Linked DNA regions of Callithrix jacchus. The protein of the gene in region 3 purifies or fractionates together with the protein of the main gene of each other region. This does not show direct contact. Links are inferred from orthologs where the notes say so. Each region holds a gene or a part of one and is shown on either strand. Other genes may lie near its edges.

Region 1 (3,724 bases), on a different chromosome or scaffold from region 3:
TTATGCACCAGGTAAACTCTTAAGATATCACATCTTACAACCACTTCAAGCCCTTTACTTACCTCCACAAATTAAGCCATTGGATCTATCACAGTTGAAATTATCACACTCGCAGAATTTGCCAGAATAAATTTCATTTGTATTATCCCTCTTCCTACAAACACACTGTCCACAGATGCACTCTCCATTGTTACTGCAGATTTCTGAACTGTTTTCTTTCCTGCAGTAAGCGTCCATATCTTCACTGTTGACTTCATCTGTGCTGCATTCACAATGCCTACCAACACGCCCCTCGTTGCACCTGAACAAAGATTCCACAATTGCAATCACACAAAACAAAAATAATTTAAAAGAGAAATACTAGGAGAGGAAATAAAACTACAAAAAATATCTCTGCGAGCTACCAATCTATTAGATGGGATTGTCCATGCCACACATCATAGATGTGTAGTGAAGTGTACACACATGTGCAAGCAAGGACAAATACACAGGCGTGCACATACATCCCAGTCACTCAAGTTTCTACAGAATATATGCAAGAGTCTAGGAAAAAAATTTCTTCAGGAAAGTAACAACTTTGGTGAAGATAAAAATATATCTAGCAATAAATTATGAACAACACATGTGGAAAGGCAAAATAAACAATTTTAGAGTATGTTAGTTACATTTTTAAATGGTATGCTATTACATTTCCTATTCTAGGTGAACTGTCTCTAAATTTAAAACAACAATCTATTAACCTAAAGAAATATAATAAACACATGCAAAAAAGTGTACAGAAGTTGAAGAAAAGTGTACAGAAGCTGAAAAAAACATACTGTGTATACTATTTAAAATATAATATACCATTTAAAAATAAATGTATCCTACAGGTACAGACTTTTCAGAATCCCTGTGTATTTTCAGAACATATAATGCTCACGCACACTGAATGCACTGATTCTGTATCTAGTAAATATACAAGCAAAGAAAGGCAAAGTATTTTCAAGATAACCTTTTTGGTTAAATGACATTTTACTAAAAATGGAACTGGCATGATTCAAACAAGATATGGAAAATTTAAAAATTCTAACATTTAAATTGTTATTCAGCCCAGACACTGAAAAACTCAATAGCCCTTCTAAGCCTAGTCATTTGGGGTTGACACCGGATTAAAACACTCTCCCCTCCTCCTATTCTTTTATGGAGAAGGCTGTATTCAAAGTATACTCAGTTCTTATTTTTCAATTAAAAAAAGGAACCACAGTGTGAAAATAAAATCTGAAGTAATCTTGTTAGTTTTCTTAGTATTAGATTCTACATGCTAAAAATACCATTTTCTCTTTATTTTACAACACATTATTTTTAAAATATTATTCCAACAATACAGAAGTACATATAGTACAAGATAAACATCTTCTATTGCTTTATAATTCCATTTCCCAGATGAAATCATTATCATTGGTTTGATGTTTTTTCAAAACATTTTTCTATAAATGTATTTTATACAAGCTTATTTTGTTCTAGACAATTCAGATTGCTCTCACATGAGGGAAATGCTATGTTAACTATTCGTTGAATATACTTCTTCTATGGCTATAAAAGCTTTTACTTTAAAGAGTAATTAAGCAGAAAAGGCAGGAAGGAGATTCCTATAAATATCACACATAAGATTATCAAACTGATCTTGTGGCAGGCAACCATGGTTAGAAAAAGCATTTGCTCTGAATAGAGAGATATTCTCTGGATGTCCCAAAATATGACCTGCCTCTATGCTCTAAACCAATGTAGCCCTTTCTTCCACTATCTGACAATGACCAGCTTACCTGCATGCGCCACACTCAAACGTCCCGTTTCCTTCATGACACTTGGGACTTCCGGGGATGCCTTCGCTTTGGCATTCACATTCACAGATGTACTGAAGAATAACCTCTACTTCCTCCGTAAAGCCCAGAGGCCTAATTTTAAAGGCGTCAGAATCCTTTTTTGGACATTTATTTGAAGTTATGCTAATTTCAAACTGAACCTTGAAGGGAAAAAAAAAGATCAACAACCAATTAAGCAATTTAAATCTACTAAAAATATTTTAAAAAGCTTCTCACTTAACATTTCTCAAAGTATAAACTAAATTTGCTTATAAATAAGCAATGTTTTCTTTTCTACAGAAAATGCTTTATACAACGTACCTCATCTCCAATGGAAATATTGGAACATTTTCTTCCATTTTCCCCTGTTCCATTCACCCCATTCTTGCAGTAAGATTTGTAACTTATTGTTACTCCTTCTGATAATTTGCTGTTTTCCAAAATGACTTCTGAGGAAAGGGACTAAAAGAATGCCTAATTATATACAGGAAAGTCAACAAAATGCTACTTGAATGCATAAAACCAATGGATAAACTGCTCAGAAAAGAATTATTTCAATAAAATATTTACAGGCCAAATCCAACTGAGTAACTGGAAAACACAGACGCTAGAGAAACAGGTTTTAATTAATAAAGATCCAATCTTCAAAATAAAATACACAATTCAAAGGAGTATTCCTGTTTTAATCACTGAGTTAAAATACTCAGGATCACACAGTACAGAGGGCTGTTATTAATTAGGAGGAGTCTTAAGAATGTGGAATAGGCCAGGCGTGGTGGCTCATGCCTGTAATCCCAGCACTTTGGGAGGCTGAGGTGGATGGATTACCTGAGCTCAGGAGTTCGAGACCGGTCTGGGCAACATGGTGAAACCCCATCTCTACTAAAATACAAAAAAAAAAAAAAAAAAAAAATTAGCCAGGTGTGGTGGCATGCGCCTATAATCCCAGCTACTTGGGAGGCTGAGAAAGGAGAATCGCTTGAACCCAGGAGCCAGAGGTTGCAGTGAGCCAAGATTGGTGCACTCCAGCCTGGGCAACAGAGGGAGACTCCATCTCAAAAAAAAAAAAAAAAGAATGTGGAATAAATAAATGCTGTCTTCCCCACTGGCAAAATGGTGTTTCTGTGGTCCTACCCCTCCAGCTAACTATGGACTAGAGTACACAATCAACAATGCACTCTAGGAACAAATTTGCTTAAGGAACCATTGTAGCCCAGCCAAAAACCAAAAAACAAAATCCCACAAGAAGGAGGGATTCAAGCCAGGGCTTGTTGAAAGTATAAAACTATTCAGGGCAAATGGAGCTGCAGCAGTGGCAAGCTATCTCTTGTTCATACCCCTGAAAAGACAGGAATTAGGAAAATTATCCAAGACCGGGGAGGATGGAAAATCTGTGGAACAAATGAAATCTTAAAAACCTTTGTAAAAACCCCTCTGAATCAGGCCTTTCCAAAGCATTATGGTACCCCATGGCATGAGGTAAAAATGTTTAAAATTCAAGCTGCCAAAGGGTTAGAGGGACGGGGGCTGAAAGTGGCGCATGCAACACACAGGGTTACCATAGTATTACAACTGCCTTCAGATTATTTAAGTGATTATTAATTAAGGCTAACTGGGCACGATTAAAGTATACTGAATTATGTTCAAAAAGGAGAAGCAAATTCCTCTTTAATTTCAATTCAACACCCTCCCATCTGTGGGTAGAAAAAGAACACTATAAATCTTTTTGAACTGGTGAATCATATGTTTATTTACATTTTTACAGAGTTAGTGGTATATGTATATATGAATGTGTATGCTTCCTGAAATAGAAAACTATATCCTTTGAATATATAAGAAGAGAAGAATTGGGGGGAAAAAAAGTTTCTAGCATAGTTCAT
Region 2 (2,728 bases), on a different chromosome or scaffold from region 3:
GCAGGGGGGAGTGCCCCTGACACATTGCACAGCAGTTCCAAGGGCTCCCCTGGGCCAATCCGACGTTCGCCAGGCCCCACTGTCACTGCCAGCTGGCTGGCTAAAACACAGGAAGGGGAAGAGGTGTCACAGAGGCAGGAGGGGACAAGAGGCACCTGATTCCCCAACTTTGTGTTTTCTCCTTGACAGCAGCAGCTTCAAAGCTTCCCGTCTGCCTCTCACGGGGTATGACCATCTTTCTACTCGGGGGCTTGAATCTCACCCCTCACCCATGGCCCTCCTAACTCTATAACCAATTACTGAGCAGAGAAAACTCATCAAGGGCAGAGCGGGAAGCAATGCTAACAGGGATGCTCACTCTAGAAGATAAGTTCCTTGGAGTCAGATGACGGCTATCTGGTACCCCCTGTGGCCACAGTGCCCACCAGCATACTGTCCCTCCCAGCTCCCACAGTGGGATGTGGCACTTACACAGCGTCTGCACGTCCACGTGGGCCAGGACAGTCCTTTTCTCTGCAATCTGGGCCCAGCTGCCATCAGGATCCTGAATCCACTCAGCGGCAGTGCAGTGGTAGGTGCCTGCGTCCCCTGCCTGGGCACCTCCTACTACCATGTGGTACCGATCACTCCCTTCCTTACCCAGTCGAAGCTCCCCTGCAGCCAGTCGCTCAGCATAGGGAGCTCCGGCCTCCACAGCCAAGTCTGACCGGATTCCCACCACTTCCTGCAGAGTTGCTCGCCCAACTGGCACCTCGGGCACAGATCGCCCAAAGGACACTGCCAGGTGTGTGTGCTTCTGTGTGCCTGTCCTCGCTAGGCAGCCCAGTGCCAGCTCCTGCCCCTCATACACCATCAGGCGTGGGGGTGAGGTTGGGGCCTGGCGGCCTCGGGGTCCTGCAGGAGCAGCAGACACCTGTAGGACATCTGGAAGAACTGGAGAGAAGAGCTGGAGTGAGGGAGGGCTGGGGGCTGGCAGCCCTTGTTACTACTTCCTGTTCAGGGCCGATCTCCCTAAATAGACTGTGAGCTCCCAGAGGGCAAAGATCGCATGTTGTATTATTTCTTCTGTAACTCAGTGGTGCCAAGCGCAGTGCTGGGCGTATCACAGGCACTCAATAAATACTTGCTGAATTTCAAAGAACCAGCCCATCGCCTACTCACCCTTACGTTCAAGACTGACCCCTGTTTGAAATACCAAGAAAAGTGGCTTTGTCTTCCTTCTCCAGGAGACAAAGAAACTTAAAAGAGTGAGAATGTCACATGGCCTGACTCCTTCCCTAAATACGCTCTTTCCCAGATCTGGGTCCTGTACTGTCCAGTAGAGTCTATTCAACCCATCAGTCTTCCTCATTCTTGGGAATGGAAAGGGGACTGGATGGCTCTTCTTCCAGAAGGGGGCTTGATATAATCAGAAGAGCACTGGCCTGGAGTGAGGAAATCTGGGTTTGAGTCCCACACCAGCCACTGAGTTATTGGGTGACTGTGCAAGTCACTTAACCTCTTTGGGCGTCGAGTTCCTTGGCTACAAAACCTAAGGGGCAGTTAGATAGGTCACTTGTGTCCCTCCTGCCTTGAGAGGGTGTGTGGCCGCACCCTGTTCCAGGGCCTAGTACCTCTCAGCTCCACCTTGCCGCTGTAGCTGCCTAGGTAGCGGGTATCAGTGGAGGGGGTGTGGCACTCATAAATGCCAGCATCCTGGGCCTGCAGGCGCGCAATCTTGAGCACTGCAGCATCCCCTTGTAGGCGCTGCACCTGCACCTCACCCGCCAGCACTCGGGGCTTGAAGATCGCATAGTGGAACTGGTCATCCATGGTACTGACAATACTGAGAGCAGTATCCGGGGCCTCGGGCCTGTACAGGAACCACTCAAAGTTCTGCTGGGCAGGGCCCTCATATTCAGTCACATTGCAGGAGATGGAGACAGCTGTTCCAACCACACGGTACAAGGGCCCCTCAGGGACCAGCACCTGCCGGGCCCAGCATCCCATTCCTGTAGGGAAAGACAAAAGGAGTTGGAGATGCCTGGTTCCCCATTCTATGCCCTCTGCCACCACAAGCACCATTCTTGACTTCTGCCTATAAAAGGAAAGGAGACCTGGAAAAGTTGGTCCACAGCTTGGACCCTGTTCTGAGAACAGGAAACAGATGCTGGGATATAAGACACTTGGGTCTCGAGGAGGTGGTATGGGCCCAGGATTGCCTTGGCACCCAGATGCATCCCATTTCTGGCAGACTAGAAGCAGAGCGCCTGAAGGCAGAAAGGAGTACATCTGATTCCTGACCTAACCAGGCCTTGGTTCCAACTGAACCTTGATCTGTCCCTGCCATTCACCTACCTCCATGTCTACCATTCCTTCCTCCTGGTCAGGGGAGCCTTCTGGCTGGGGGATTCTGAGACTACATGTTCCCTCCTTTGCTTGAGGGGAGCTGGCAGTCTTGCTCAGAAGGGCTAGTTGGCTCAGCTTGTCACCTGGGCTAGACAATGGAGCCAGTGGCCCTAGCTGGAAAGGGCACAGACCCAGTCAGTTCTCACCATACAATGCCCTCCCCCCTCCAGCTGTGCCATGAGCTCACTGCTTCTCTCACCCTGCAGGGCTGCCCAGGCAGCTGGGGCTTCTGGAGGAAGATCCAGACTCTGCCCTGGCACTGGGGGCAGAAGATCCCCTCCTCCAGTGCCTGCCAACCTTCCTGGCTAGCCCAGCAGACACACAAGGCGCCTGCCCCAGT
Region 3 (4,164 bases):
TCCCACCCTTCTCCCATTCCCACTCAGCAGCCAAACCCAGTTGGGTAAGGTAATCCACTTCTGAGACCACCCTGCCCCATCACTTTGGAAAAGTCACCTAACCTCTCTGGAGAGTGGTTTCCTGATCGACAGCACAGGGACAACGCTTCCTGCTCTTGGCTACATCACAGGACTAGAACAGGAAAGAACTCTGAAGACTAAGACTGCAGAAGTAGACTCACAACAGCTTTTCATTACATTGTTTCCTAGGGGATGAGGGCTTCACCTCCATAGGCTCCCAGATACAGGACAAATGAACAATAATTCAGGAAAGCACAGCTACTGCCCACCTTCCTGCCTCTGATGAAGATGGAAGAGGACAGAAGTAAAGTAGGCGGCCCAGGGGTTGTACTACTGGCTCTGTGATCCGGGTTAAATCACCCAGTCTCTCTTCCTCTGCTGCCTCACTATGCATAAGAGGGCTGGACTGCACGATCTCCAGAGTCATTCCAAACATATCCAGTGTGAGTGATTTCTGTTTCAGACTCCATAACTCACCAGCTGTACCTACGCCAGGGCTGGGGGCGGGGGGTTCTGAATACAAATAGGGTGGCAGGCTGGGGACAGTATGGACAGATTGCAGGCCAGCAGGCCACAGACAGAGCAGATACCAGGTGGCCCTAGGAGCCTTGCCTCAGCTTCCTGCATAAGCCATGGGGCAGATGGGGGGAGGGAGGCACACTGTGGCCGTCTGTGTTTCCCTACAGCCCCAAACCTCGATGCAGTCTAGGCAGACAGCTGAGGACTAATCAACACACCGGCAGGAGAGACTGTACCAGGGAGGGGAGAGGAAAACTCCCAAAGGTCCAGGGTGGGTGAGGCCAGCTGCCTTCCCACATAGTTCTCTGCTACCAGGGATTGACAAGAGGAAGAAGCTAAGCCTGGCACCTGGCTGGCTGCTGGGGTGGGTGGCAGCACAGGAGGGGGTGCCCACTGCAAGCAGGGTCTCCTTAAAGCAAGTCAACGGTTGGAGCAGACCTGTGTGCTGTCCTCACTAGGGTATGTGTTGGGTATGGTGACTGATGAACCAGGGCAGGCCACTCTTTGCAAGTTAAACCACCCCTTCAGCTCCGGGGAGGAGTAAATCTTAGGACATTTGGTTATGGAGGCTCTGGGGACCTCAGTGACCAGCTCCAGGGGGAATAAGTGCACTTTTTTTCTTTTATTTTTCTTTTTGAGACAGGGCTCACTCTGTCACTCAGGCTAAGTATAGTGGTGCAGTCATGACTTACTGCAGCCTTGGCCTCCCAGGCTCAAAGATCCTCTCATCTCAGCCTCCTGAGTAGCTGGGATCACACGTGTGTGCCAACATGCCCAGCTAATTTTTGATTTTTTGTAGAGATGGGGGGGGGTCTCACTATGTTACCCAGGTTGGTCTTGAACCCTGGATGAAAGCGATCCTCCTGCCTCAGCCTCCCAACTTGCTGGGATTACAGGCATGAGCCACTGTGCCTGGCCAAATGCACTTTTTTGTTACAAGGCTCTGGTGGCATGCACCTGTTTCTACATCCATCTTGAGAGTGGCACAGACTACCTCTCTATACCCTTTCCTGCCTGCAGAGAGGCAAATATTGTCACATGTGTGTAGGGAATGTGGCTATAGAAACAAGGACACAAAGGTTTCCTATTCCTTGCTTCTGTCGCCTCTCTGCCTTTCCATTTGTAGACGCTAAGTGGCATGCAGCGGGTGTCCCTGGAACTCCCAGCCCCGCTGGCCTCTCGAGATGAACGTCCGCTCTGCGCCCTGCCTGGCCTTGGGTGGGCCGGTTGGGAGGGGAGGGGACGAGGTTGAGGCCCTCCCGGGAGGGCAGCCGGCTGGCACCTGATCTCTCCCGGAAATGCACACACAGGACTCATCCCACTAGAGGCGCAGATAGGCATCTGCCCGTCCTCTCCCCAACTCTCAGAGTTCTCTCCAGTGAAGATACTTATCGCCCTTGAAAGAAATCAAGACAAGCTAGTCTTTCAGGTAGCTTCTAGGGAGCTTGGCGCTCTCACGGCGGCTCAGAATCCTCCTGAGGGCGCGGGGGCCTGCGAGGTTCCTCCTCAAGGGCGGAGGGGCTCCTGACTCTGACTCAGGGACTGGGTCCAGGGGCCGCACCCGCCGCCGGGACACCCCTTACGCTCCTGTGTGAAAGTGAGAGCAGTTCTTGGCTGAGCTCTCGCCTCGCCCGCACCCTCCCTTTCTAGCGCCCCCTACCACCTGGGAGACCCCACCCGGCCACGAGACGCACTGCCCGCTACATCCTCCTTGGCCTAAGGAGGGGTGTCCCGCTTCTCCCAGCCTTCCCCTCTGGCACTCGGAGAGGCTTGGGCTGGGAGGAGACACACAGCCCGGCTCAAACCCTAGGCGAGCGATAAAGGGCTCAGGACCTGGCCGCACGCCCCTACTCAGGAGGGCCGAGCTCCCACACCCGCTGGGCGGTGATGAGCCCGCACCCGAATGCGCCCGTCCCGCCCGGCTCCGGACCCGGCCTTGGAGCCAACTGGCAGCCGCAGGGGCCTCTCTCTTCCCGCCCGGAGCCTGCCCGGTGCGGGCAGTGCCAGCTGCCGGCACCCGCGGCCAGTGTCCGGGGCCCGCCAACAGGTGGCCCCGGAGATGAGCGCGCGGCAGTCGCGCTCACTTACCCAGAAGATGAAGTTAAATCCGAAGAGCAGGTATTTGATGCACTTGGTGCCTCCTTTGACCGGCATGGTGAGGGCTAGCCTGGCCTGGGCCGAACGGGTGCGGGACTGGGTGGCGCGCGCAGCTGGAACGGGCGGGACCCGGCGCTGGACAGAGATGCAGGCGGCTGCGGGCTGGCCTCGGCTGCACTTTTTTAAAAAGTGCCACTCCTTAGGACGCTCGACCCGCTGCGGTGCGCATGTGCCGGGAAAAGCCGCCCCCACTCCCCCCGCCGGCCACGCCTCCCGCCCCCAGGCCACGCCCCTGCCGCACCCCGCCCCGCCCCCGCCCAGGTCCAGCGGGCCCCGGCCTCACCCGCCCCGCGGAGCCAGATCCTCTCCCCGCCTCCCTCACCCACAGCCCCGCCGAGTCGCCCTACCCACCACCCGCCACCCACTCCTCCTTCCAGCCGCCTTGGTCTTTTCAGCCGCCACTCCCTGCCACTTTCACCGGCCACTTTTGTGGAGGCCTCGCCCTTCCGGTTCCCCAGCGTTCGGTCTGGGCGCCGGGCCCGGCGCTTTACTTTGAGAGACTCTCCCCGGGTCGTATGTGCTAAAGGCCCCCTTGCCCGAGGCCGGCTGCCAGAATGAGGGGTCCTTAAGCTTTGCGAGGATTAAAGGGAAGCCGCCTGGCCTAATTTCGCCCCCGGCTGTCTCCTTGCAAATCTTCGCCCGCTGGCCATACTTGTCGTTGGGCACAGCACGTGGGGTAGGAGGAATTAGAAGCGCGCAGTCTGGTGGGTAGACCGATGGAAGGCTTTTGGAAGTAATTAGCAAGTACCTGTCACCGAATAACAACAGGGCCGAGGGCTGGGCAGTCCCCAAGCGCTTCCTTAACTTGAGGATTAGTGGCCCCAGAGGGTTTGTCGCCTGCTGCTGTTCTCTCTCTACCCCTTCGCCCCACCTTCCCTCCTGCGTCTTTGGACTTGCTGCCTTGGACTGCTCCAGATGCCGAGTTCGGAGCGTTTCTCTTCAGCTCAAAAACTTTCTGTAGCTCTCCAGATTCAAGGACCTAAGTCGAAATTCCTCGTCCTGCCTTCAAGGCCCTATACAGCGCACTCATCTGCCTTCTGCCGGACCCGGAGTCCCGCCCCTACCCGGCGGTCACAGTGCCCAGCTCTGCGCGCGCAGGCTGGCCTGCGCCCTGGCTGGCTGGCTCTCCCCGCGGCACTTGTAGAAATTTTGTGGGGCTTTAAACACTCCTTTCCAGATTCTCTGGACTGGACGAGGAGAATCCCCTTATTTTGAAGTCTCAGAATCCCTTTGTATTTTTTTCAAAATGAAGTTGCCTTTTTTTTTTAGACGGGGTTTCACCATGTTGGTCAGGCTGGTCTTGAACTCTCGACCTCAGGTGATCTGCCCGCATTGGCCTCCAAAGTGCTTGGATTACAGGCATGAGCCACCACGCCCGGCCTCAAAATGAAGTTTCCTTTAGTGTCCTTGATTATTACAAAAGCAAGA
Region 4 (3,724 bases), on a different chromosome or scaffold from region 3:
TTCTGTCCATGGAGTGATTTTAGCTAACACGTACTTTCTGAAGTTTTCCACGAAGGAGACACATTTCTTGGAAACCAAGGAACAACTGTCCCCACTCTGGGATGCTCAGGGAACAAAGCTCTGCCTGTCTCGTTAGGCCGACCCTGGTATTCACCATGGGTCAGTGAGGCTGGGAACTCACCCTCCCATCTTGGGGCTCTGAGAAGTACCCACTCTGTACAGTGACCTCAAGTGGAGTCTCTTTTCTTTAAGAAGCGAAGCCAGTAGTAGTGAGAGTAGCACGTCCCTAAGCTATAGCCTCTGCTATCGACCTGAACCATCTCTCTCAAGGCTGCTCTCTGCCTGTGCCTGGCAGAATCCATAACCCTCGGACACAGTAAAGTGGGTTTCTATAAATTTAGCGTAGAGGCAAAGCCTTGACAATTTTTCTAGTAAGTCTTGAAAACCATTTCTCAATGGTGGCACCAGCACATAATATCAAAGCTGGGGTAACAGCAAGGGCTGCTCTTTCTGGGTGCAGGTCCAGGCCAGGTCTACAAAGAAACCAGGACATGCTATGGCACATTCCTCCAACTGTGGCAACCTGGGTTCTGTCAGCTACAGCCTGGCACAGAGAGAAGACATTCCCAAACACTGAGAAATGTGGGTGACATGCTTACCATCCATCTTCACAGTTATAAAAACGGGCTTGGAGTGGATCTCGGCCTCCTTCTGCCAGGAACCTGTTGGTGACTTCACCCATGGAGTCACGGAACAGTAGTAGTTACCAAAGTCCTGGTCCTCAGAGCCATGAACTTGCAGCAAGAATTCCAGCACACTCACGCGCTCCAGGCTGATGTCGCTCTTCCACTCCCTCCGGGAGGTGGTCACAATGCCCTTCCGATCCAGGGAAGACAGGAGCACAGGATCCTTGTCCAGACCGAAGGAGTGCACCGCAAACCAGGACACATCAAAGGCCATGTCATCTATGGATTAGCAAGCCAAAACCCTGGGGTCAGTGCAATGGGCAGAAGTCCTATGTATGGCCGCCGTCATGTATGCAGCCCTTACTACGTATGGCAAGCAAGCCCTACATGCCTCAGGTCTCACTGAATCCTCGTAAAGCCCTATGATGAGGCACTATCATACCTTTATTCTGCCGTTATTACCAGACTATGGTACCTGCTCAAGGTCATGCAGCCGGCAGGTAGCAGAGGTGCAGCTTAACCCAGGGAGTACAGCTCTGGAGCCCAGCCTCTTAACCACTGCACTGCTGCCGGCCAGACTAAGGGGCCACAGGAAGAAGAGTCGGGGCCAAAAACTGGCTCCCACAGAGAAGACAGATCGGAAAGCTGGTAGGACGGGAGACTGCAGGCTTTCCCAAAGAAAGCAGGTCCTTTGACATTCCAACGCTGGAAGGACGCTAAAGTCGTATGGAACGAAATGTACATAAAACGAACTGCACCAAACACAGGGTTGTAAATAGTTTAGCTTTTATTGTACACTATGGTTTTTCTTTCCTTGCAGAAGTGCTTAAGTTCAAAACAAGAGGGGAAAAAATGTCAAGCTGAGAAAATGGAACACAGTTTAGCAGTCCCAGAGAGTAATACTGAATCGTAAAGTACTTTGCAAAACTAAGGTTCTAACAGCCTCAAATAAATTGATACGGGCATAAGAGGAAGAAGACTTTGGCACGAGCGGTAATTCTCATAGAATGTGAAAACAGCACACATCATAAGCCCTGACCTCTCCCCTTGACTGGTACCAACTACGATCACTTGTGTTGGCTGAGATTCAACCAGCAACAAAGGACAACAGCCACAAGACTGTTTTGTCTTAAATCCACTTGAGAAAGCATTTTATATAAATGTCAAATAAGACAATTTTTGCTGAACAAGAGATAACATTTATTCATTTAGTAAAAATACACTAATAGCCTCAAAAAAACAAATTCTAAGGCAAGTAAATTATTTTCAGATGCTTACATATTAAAAAAGTAAGCAAAACTAAAAGCAAGAATTTCTAAGAAATTATCCAAATGATAATTCCTTGTCAGCTCACTCTAAAGATGGGACGTCTTATTTCCCTCCCGTTGACCCGCCGTGGCACTTGAGTATAATTTTTGTTGTTGCTCCCAGTGTTTTTCCAAAGAAACCAGCTCCCTGGGGGCAGAGGAAGTGCCGTAAATAGCCTCATGCTCTCACCCAGGGCCAAGGGCAGAGTGGACACCTGCATCTCTGTCATGACTTCGTGAAAACTCTGAACTCAGTGCTGCTGTCACCTGCAGGTGCTGGGTGGTTGCTGAGGGCAAAAAGCCAAACCAGGTTCCCGGACTCTAAGCCCTGATCCCCACTGCACCTCAGGGTGTGGGAGCCAGACTCCAGGGCCAGGCTGCCTGGGCTAGAATCCCAGCACCAGCACTAATGAGCCATGTGACCTGGGCGAGTTTCCCAAGTTCACTGAGACTTCGTTTCCTCATCTGCAAAATGAAAATGACAGCACCCAGGGTTACATTAGCTACGTGTATTAAAATGCTTAAAACAGCACCTGGAACACAATAAGTGCTCAATAAAAGTTGGTCACCATGAACACCATTATCTCCACAGCTCAACACACATGCTCCTACACAGAGACCCGCTAATGGGAAGGGCATTACCACCTGCAGCAAATGCTACTGGTGGCCGGTCCACAGCAGCTGGCAGGCTGAGCCTCTAGGCTGCAGGTGCTGGCTGTTAAAACTCACACACCTGTAGCCAGCCCCGGAGGTTATGAAACACTCACTCCTTGGCCACTCAGCCTGTGGACAATGACTGACTAGTGAAGGGGCAGAGAAGCCCAGCCCCCTTCCGTCCGGTGGGCCTACCCTGCAGAACACTCACGCTCCAGAGCTCCCCGTGGGGAGGTGAACCGGCTCCCGCCTCTACCTGCCTTCTCCTCCAGCTCCGTCTCGAGTCCCTCCCTCCCTCCCTCAGTGTTCTCCTGAGAACCCTCCCTCAATCCATGACTCGCATGCTTGTCTGTCTTGGCCTGGGGAGAATCTGACCTAAGACACTGCCTCAGAAGGGCCACAGTCTGCTGTCCCCACCCCTGCTCCGCACAGAGCACCTTGGCCCACAAATCATTTACACAATGTGTCCTTCACAAAAGAGCATTCCCTGAGAGCCCACAGCATGTGTGAGGAAAAACTAAATTACGACTTGTGTTTAATAATTCAGAATCTTCCACCCACACAGTCCAAGAGTGCAAAGTTCTGAAAACTGTGATCTGAAAGATAACAGCTACCTATAGCTTTTGCAATTAATTACACTGGAGGAAAAGACTTCTCTATTAAGGGCACAACTGGTGACCTATTAATTTACTGAGAAAGAGCATTTAAAGGATTTATTTTTGTATGCATCGTAAGTGAGCTTTAACGGCAAACATGAAATTACATTTTTCCAACTTTTGAAAAGGATCTTCCTCCCCTTTCCCTGGTAGTCTCTTCTACTTTCACCTTCATTTTCTCCTCTGAATCCTACTCTGTGTCCTCAGTCTTCCCCATCTCAGGTAGAGGAGCAGCTCCTCATTCCTTGTCCCTGTGAATGGAGCTAACCAACCCCACGGATGTAGACGGGATTCTTTCTTTCCCTTTTCTAACATCTCCCACAAATTCTCCTTCTGTTTCCCACCTCTAAAGATCAACCATGTTCAGCTACCCTACTGGAGCCAATTTTGGTATCAATCAACTAGTCCCGGGGTCAGTAAA

The links.
Region 1: the proteins of CD9 (region 3) and ITGB1 purify together in Homo sapiens (co-immunoprecipitation; 5 studies listed by BioGRID and IntAct, with this or other methods). This does not show direct contact. The link is inferred for Callithrix jacchus from reciprocal best matches to the Homo sapiens genes CD9 and ITGB1.
Region 2: the proteins of CD9 (region 3) and IGSF8 purify together in Homo sapiens (affinity purification with mass spectrometry; 5 studies listed by BioGRID and IntAct, counting the BioPlex papers as one, with this or other methods). This does not show direct contact. The link is inferred for Callithrix jacchus from reciprocal best matches to the Homo sapiens genes CD9 and IGSF8.
Region 4: the proteins of CD9 (region 3) and PTGFRN purify together in Homo sapiens (co-immunoprecipitation; 8 studies listed by BioGRID and IntAct, with this or other methods). This does not show direct contact. The link is inferred for Callithrix jacchus from reciprocal best matches to the Homo sapiens genes CD9 and PTGFRN.

The regions. Positions count from the first base shown.
Region 1 is NC_133508.1:32,605,994-32,609,717, forward strand, and holds part of ITGB1 (integrin beta-1), read right to left. Parts: intron 2,307-3,724; coding exon 2,166-2,306; intron 2,006-2,165; coding exon 1,806-2,005; intron 302-1,805; coding exon 63-301; intron 1-62.
Region 2 is NC_133519.1:20,039,844-20,042,571, forward strand, and holds part of IGSF8 (immunoglobulin superfamily member 8), read right to left. Parts: exon of another isoform or gene 2,338-2,728; intron 1,992-2,337; coding exon 1,614-1,991; intron 934-1,613; coding exon 472-933; intron 101-471; coding exon 1-100. UniProt on the Homo sapiens protein: Member of the immunoglobulin superfamily (IgSF) that links tetraspanin-enriched microdomains to the actin cytoskeleton and plays several important roles in innate and adaptive immunity.
Region 3 is NC_133510.1:19,805,944-19,810,107, reverse strand, and holds the start of CD9 (CD9 antigen), read right to left. Parts: upstream 2,836-4,164; 5' UTR 2,734-2,835; coding exon 2,668-2,733; intron 1-2,667. UniProt on the Homo sapiens protein: Integral membrane protein associated with integrins, which regulates different processes, such as sperm-egg fusion, platelet activation and aggregation, and cell adhesion.
Region 4 is NC_133508.1:154,991,556-154,995,279, reverse strand, and holds part of PTGFRN (prostaglandin F2 receptor negative regulator), read right to left. Parts: intron 966-3,724; coding exon 660-965; intron 1-659. UniProt on the Homo sapiens protein: Inhibits the binding of prostaglandin F2-alpha (PGF2-alpha) to its specific FP receptor, by decreasing the receptor number rather than the affinity constant. Functional coupling with the prostaglandin F2-alpha receptor seems to occur.